Styela clava: one gene and its partner. The protein of the gene in region 2 purifies or fractionates together with the protein of the main gene of each other region. This does not show direct contact. Links are inferred from orthologs where the notes say so. Each region holds a gene or a part of one and is shown on either strand. Other genes may lie near its edges. The genes, in order: ubiquitin-protein ligase E3C-like and 26S proteasome complex subunit SEM1-like.

What was found.
Region 1: the proteins of 26S proteasome complex subunit SEM1-like (region 2) and ubiquitin-protein ligase E3C-like purify together in Homo sapiens (affinity purification with western blotting; 3 studies listed by BioGRID and IntAct, with this or other methods). This does not show direct contact. The link is inferred for Styela clava from reciprocal best matches to the Homo sapiens genes SEM1 and UBE3C.

The regions. Positions count from the first base shown.
Region 1 is NC_135250.1:32,498,082-32,502,019, forward strand, and holds the start of ubiquitin-protein ligase E3C-like, read left to right. Parts: upstream 1-1,139; 5' UTR 1,140-1,379; coding exon 1,380-1,445; intron 1,446-2,504; coding exon 2,505-2,564; intron 2,565-3,938. UniProt on the Homo sapiens protein: E3 ubiquitin-protein ligase that specifically catalyzes 'Lys-29'- and 'Lys-48'-linked polyubiquitin chains.
Region 2 is NC_135260.1:14,916,494-14,919,900, forward strand, and holds 26S proteasome complex subunit SEM1-like, read right to left. Parts: upstream 2,085-3,407; 5' UTR 1,961-2,084; coding exon 1,736-1,960; 3' UTR 835-1,735; downstream 1-834. Other genes in the region: thioredoxin-like protein 1, read right to left, coding at 357-453, 701-795. UniProt on the Homo sapiens protein: Component of the 26S proteasome, a multiprotein complex involved in the ATP-dependent degradation of ubiquitinated proteins.

The DNA of each region.
Region 1 (3,938 bases), on a different chromosome or scaffold from region 2:
TCTACATCAATCTTGTATGTGTCCAGTTTTTAGTATTTTATATTGCCGCTCTGAAATCCCGATTTAGGTTGCTTGCAGATGCACTTCTTTATCTTTAGCATTATTATATAATGACTCGTTTTTCTCAATGGTTTCACAGTTCCGTATGCAAGGCATATATATATATATATATGGAGGTTGAAGGAAATTTGTGATTATAATCACCGACGTAAAGGTGTTTATGGTCTAAACTCTAAATAACATCTCGAGCTGGCGAAAACAATCGGTCATTTAAAAAAAAATTTGTCGAATGGTATTGCCGACTTTTTCATTTTCCTAAACAAAATTTTGTTCACAGTTAAAGTATACTTTATATGAAATTAAAAAGAAAATGTCCACATCTAGAAACCTGCTCGCGGGCCGGATGAAACGTTGCCGCGGGCCGGACGTGGCCCGCGGGCCGCAACTTGCCCAGGCCTGTACTATGATGTCGGTGGCAATAATTCAACTGGATTTATCGCTCCCTCGAATCATTTTATTTTTGGCGTTTTCACAACCACGATAATTCCACTCTAAAATTATCAAAACCCGGGAGATTCAAATTTTTATTTTCTCCACCTACTTTATTTGTATAAATCAAGACAATTGCTATAATTTATAGACACGAAAGCCACAACGAAGTAATACGGGTACGCAATTTTTTACTGTAGCAGTATCTGTGAACAAACGATCCCGCGACAGAAGAAATTATCTTCAGATGTTACAGTCCCAACGGAATCTTAGCCAATAATAGAGTTAATAAACTGGGCCATGAAGCGCTCAGTCGAGTGATCCAAACTGAGCTCCAATTCGTTGAAGTCACGTCCAAAAGCAATAACTGGATAAATTAGGCTACTTGTCAAAGTCGAGAGGAGGCTTCTAAATATGCTCCCGAGTTCCCGAGTATCCGTATTCCATTCCGTACCGTAAACCTATATAATTCTCAACATAATACCGCAGCTACCAAGTTTCATTTATCTACATCTCACGCAAATAAGACGGTTTCGTGGAGCTTTAAAAATATTCCAACGCTGCCAAACATGAACCAACTTTATAATAGCAGAAGCGTGGACTAATGGCCACCTGTGAAACATCAACCAATCACGTTAAATTCACTTCTGAACGACATAATACTAATTTCGTCGTCACAAACGTTTTTATAATACCGCCAGTGGTGTCGTCATATGAATCGACATAATATTCACTATGACGTAAATGACTAAGCATTCCGACACAAATAAACCCACAAGCGGAACTTGCTGGAAGTCCTACGCTTCAGAATTCACCAGATGTTTTGGGCATTTTGAAATGGGAAAATAACAGGAATCTTTATTGCCAGTGAATACAGGACTGCAGGAAGTATGTACAGTTTTGAAGGAAAATTTCGAACGACGCCAAATGTATCTTTAGGTGGTAAAAGCAAAGAGGTGAGTACCGTACGGTACGGTCTGACTGTACCGGTACCGTACGTACCGGTACCGTATTAATAATAATAATAATCCAAGTCGGGTACCGGTACCACCGGTATGGGATTGGTTATATTGTTTGTTTTCGGAAGCATGGACTTGGTGGTGGAGGAAGCCGCACGGCGTGTGGTTAGATAAGATAAGATTTTATTTCGATTCATTCGCAAAAACAAAATAAACATATATACACCAAAGATTAAGGCGAAGAATCTGGAAAGTGAACAAAACCTAATAAAATAGGTTTAAAACGTATTAAACGCGTTCACTTACCAAAGATTAAAGAAGAAAGAAACGAGTCACAAACACAAACAAATAAACATGAATATTGACGGCAGTCATTACTCAGGCGTTTCACTTGGTAATCAGGTTGTGTGCAATCTTTTCAAAAACAAAAAAGTGAATTCAATATCCGCTGTGCGTGTGATGCGGCATGTAAACAAACAGTCCGAAAAATCCTAGTAGGAGGTGCGAATGCATGTTTCCGTTCCATGCTCAGATGTATATCCAGTAAAATCTACTAAAACGTTAACACACCAATGTAAAAATCGATCGTAAAAAATCCGCGTGCGACGCGCGCGACGGCTGTCGGTACTTGTTATACGGTATTTTAATGGATTCTAATTGATAATTAATTTTATTTGTGTCCTGTTCAGGGTGAACAGAAACCTTCGCCCACCTTCCCACAGAAACCGGCAATAATTCTGAATTCTACAGTCAGACAGTGCTCAGTCTGTCAGTGCGGCGGTGCGGCTCATTGTGCTAAGCGTTAGGAATACGCTCGTCATTGCACCTCTGATTATTCTGCACGGGTTCAAATCCCATGCAAGGATAGTTAGTTATGTGCGAGAGGAATGCGAATCTTCTCTGTATATAATGTATGGTTTTGGCAGATTGCTCTGCACACAATGCCCCGAAATTATTTATACTTACCGGTAATGATTCTACCGAATTTTTCACCCGTTTTCTCAGAGGTAATTTTATATCTATTTACTTTAACTTACCAAATGATGAATTTTTCAGGATAAATTGAACAAGGAAAGACTTCTGCAAAAAGCTCAAAAAGAAAGACAAAAACGAGAGGTTTGTTTATTTTATAATTCTCGTTTTATCAAAGAAAAACGTCTATATCAGGGTTTCCCAAACTGGGTTTCGCAATGACTGCACAGGGGGTCCGCAATGATATGAAGGAAGTCCCATTGATCTTTAATGATCGATTTTAATCCAAAAGCCATTGCATTTATTTGGATGAGCGTTGTGGACAAGTATCCATTGCTGTCATCAAAAGCAATTATAATTTTATTGCCTTTTGAACAACCTAAATGTGCGAGGCAGCATTTTCAGCTCGCTCCGATATGATGACAAAATACAGGTCAAGACTTGCCGTAGAGTTGGATCTGCGAGTTTGCTTGTCACAAATTGCTTTGAGAATCGATAGATTGTGAAGTGAAAGCAACCTAATGCATTACATTATTGTCGTTGTGTTGTAAATGAAACATTATCCTTTCTCGTTGGTTAGACACAGAAATTGATACGGCATAGGATGGGTGTCCGTCAAAACCAAGATTTACAAATAGCGGTTCGCAGCCCAAAAAGTTTGAGAAACTCTGGTTTATATCTGAAACAATGCCAGCAGTTTTTGGATTTAAGTTTAGCCTGAAAAATCTGTATTCAGGATTAACCTATTTCAGACGCCCAATCGAGCCCAATTTTGAATACCCATTTTTATTAATGTCATACGACCCCCAAAATTTACCCAATATACAATAATTATATACCATTGGAAAGGTATTTTAGAGTACTATACGCTAGATGTCACTGGAGGACCGTAAACCAAAACACCTCTTTCAAGAGGTCTCTCGTAACGTCAAAAAATAACAAAAATATTTACACTCTCTCATTCTATCAGCTGTTGGACGTCTATAGCTATTGTAAAGCTGAAATGTGACTATACAGTTGACTGCACATTGGTTTTCTCTTTCATATGATACTAAACGCTTTTCCATAGCGCGCGTTGTTCAAGCGTTTTGGAAATTTTCCGTTTGAGAAGTCACCACATCGAATCAGGCCAGGCTAAGCTTGATAGATCGATCGGTTGTTTGTTTGTGCTTTATCGCGTTGAAAGTTTTTGTGAGTCATAATAAAACATTTATTATGAATCATAAAAGCTTATAATCGTCAGACAAGGAGAATTTGCGAGATAAAACGCTTAACTTTTTTCTGTGAGGCAGCTGCGATCAAACGACTTGATATTTTTATAACTTCCTGACGTTGTGAGATGTCCACTCTCCTATGTTATGTAGCATATAAAATGACCTTCAAAATAAGACCTTATCATACTAGCTTTTGTTATTGGTTAGCGCGCAACGCCAAGGTTTATGGAATCATTTTCTTGTTGTGCGACGTTTTTATATCGCAGCGGGAAGTACACGCGTGATATGTAAGCGAAATTTTATC
Region 2 (3,407 bases):
TTAATCTATACATGATAAAAATATTCATAGCTAGTAATTAACTGGATGGTAAATTGTTACATCCAAAAATGGCTAAGTAATAAATAAAAGACTAATGACAATAACTATCCATTTAAAATGACTTTTTGCTCATAAAAACATAATATTAGAAATAATACAGACAAATTGAATAGTCGTTTGACTTATACCAGTGTTTGACTGGTTTATTAAATAAACGTATTCATCAATCAGCCTATTCATCTACCCACTCTTATTATACATCATTAAACACAATTTTGAACAAACTTACTATCATAATATCATGCCCAATGTTAAATGAATCAGAAAATAATAAATACAGTAAACAAAAATATTACAAAACATTTGTCAACATCAACTTTAAGAAATACAACTCCTTCATATTGATTTGATAATTCTTCAAATACTGGAGCAATAGCGTGACAGGGTCCACACCTTTAAAAATAAAAAAGATTATAATCGTTCTACAACATAACACTGCACACAACACTAATGAGGTTCTTATCACTTTATCTGTATGCCACTCGGAAAATATATTACATACATAAATGTTCTAACAACTAAATTTTATCAATTTGATAATATACCAGTAACTCAGACTTCAGAGACAAATTCGATAATTCAAAAATAAACGATTACATATTCAAATGTAATATCTACTATCTATATCTGAAAGACTTACCATGTAGCAAAAAAATCTATGACAACGAGGGATGAACCAGCATCGTTAAAACTGAGTTGAAATGCTGCGTCGTTATCTATATGTTGTACAGGCATTTTCTATCAATTTAGGTATTTGATTATTAAACAATTCGACTGGGAAAAACAAACAACGATTAGCTTTCACACATTTCTCAAAGGGTCAACATTTTATAACAAAACAGAGGACACTCTTTTTTATTAAACATAAATTAACCAACCAGAACATCTGCAGAATTTCATAGCTGATTATATCCAACAATTATTCTGGCAATGAGAATATTTTAGATCAATCTGATATCAAACAAAACCATGAAATGCAATATTTCATATGACGAAAATTGACTAAATAATAGTTACTTGTTCATTGAACATTGAGACAATCTACATTGAATCGAATGTTAACAGCATTCATCACACATTACTAGTGGAAAAAAGTAACATTATGAAGAGCATCTACGTCCAATTTGTAAATAAATGTCAGTCATCATTCAGAGTTACAATTCCCACCAGAATAACTCAAATTTCATATTATACAATGTGTAAATTGCAAGCCAAATGAAAGTCTAGATATAAAAATTGGTGATGTAGGTAGATTTACCTTTCAAATGTTATAGCATATCATATTTACTTTTCAGGCATGGTTTCAGTGCAGGGTACCACAAATAACTCATGATGAAAATAAAATTCAGACACAACTTCATTATAACAAACTTATCCACTGCAAAAAATCTTGTGGTGTACCTATAAATATTTATAGACAAAACACTCCTAACACTCGATTACGCCTAACTTAAATAAAAATTGAAAACAGAAGTTAATCCTTAAATTCAACAAAAAATATACACATGTGGACTTTGTATTGCATGTGTAAGTTCAGAAGGTGGTTTAATTACTGAATTATAAAACGAACAAATTGTCCAAATCAATACCAATAAAGAAAATTCCATTTCATCATCAAGTACCAATGTTAAGCAATATACATTGTATTGTTCAATATTTGCCGTTGATGATAAAATTATGACTTGACTTTCTGGCCGGATTTTTCTAAAATAGCTTTTAATTGTGATGAAAAGTCATCTTCTATATTATCATCATCCCAGTTTTCATCCCAAAATACTTTTGGTTCTTTGTCTTTCCCGGTCCATTCTTCCGCAGGAAATTCTTCAAATTCGTCATCATCTTCTAATGATCCTAGTTCAGTGACTGGCTTTTGTTCATCTTTCTTGTCTTTGTCAGCCATTTATCTCGAAGAATTGAATACTTTTTAAAGAATAAGTTTTATTACTATAATAGGATTTGATAAATCGATAGTAAAGGTTAGGTAAAAAGATGAAAAAGGGGCACACTACTGCACTAAGCATAGGTTTATACTAATATATATTCCTGTAAAACCTTTCATCTCATACGGTATTCAGTATATTTTGAACGATACTTACAGACTTAAGGTTTGTTTACCGGTACTCACCTGATTCTAATACTAATTAAAGAGTGGAAATAATTTTATACTTATACTACACTTATTATCCAATCCATTATCCAGTTTGTTACCGGTATGCAGGTATGATTATAAGATTTTTGAGTTGTTATTACAGTATTAAAATCACAAATTTACAAAAGTTACACAAGAAAAAAATAACAAAAAAATGAATATCGGTATTTCTCACTATTATTATTAAATTACGAGGCATTATAGGTAATCTTATCTTACAATATTCTTACAGTTTTCACGCGCCGTGCGGCTTTTATTTTTCATTTATTTTTTTTAATGAAAAATAACAAATAAAATAATATCAAAAAGAATTACCAACAGTATATTATTAATATGTTATACATGTTATTCAAATCTCCATTCTGCCTTATGATTTTCGAGCAACTTTCATCCCGGACATTCGCACATACATTGTGAACATGACATAGCATGAGTAAGCATAATAATACACGACACTCACTGAACTCTGCTGCCATATAGCGAATGTATAAAATATCGTAAATATTTCTTTATTTATTTATCAACAGAAACAAAAGAAAATCAGGTGATTGATATTTCGCCAACCCTTCTGCATTGCGTGCGTACCGTGTCCGTATCCCTTTCTTCATCTCCGAGTTCAGGCGTAGTATTGGTACAGGTATGGGTACCGTTCTTCTGTACTGGGAGGTTGCACGGCTTAATCTTCAGATTTTTTTTTTTCTATCATAAAGTTTAAAAGTGTACAATCTTCAGACTCATGAGTAATACTAATAGAGTGTCTGAGCAATTAGCGACATGTGTCATTGCGAGCAGCCAGGCATGTCATTACTAAGTTAGCCCTTTTTAATATTTGAACTCTAATGCATTTGTGCTTTGCTTTTGTTTGTTGGCATCTATTATTAAATTTGGCATATAAAATAACTGGTTGAAATTGAAGTAAGGTCTATAAAACAGCTTAATCTTGTTTTGAACTGTCGCCTCGTCTCACAGCCTCGTCAGAAATGAAAAAATTTACTATAACAAATACCGTAGATCAGCGGTTCCCAAACTATGGACCCACTGGTGGGTCGCAAGAAAAATCTCAGTGGGTAGTGAAAAGATGTAGAAAGCTTTGATTAATCATACTGGTTGGTTATTAGCAGTGTTCCCTCTAAGGTGTGCGCGTGCACACAGGACAGCTTTCAGAGGCTGCGCACACGCATAGATTTACTGCACACAG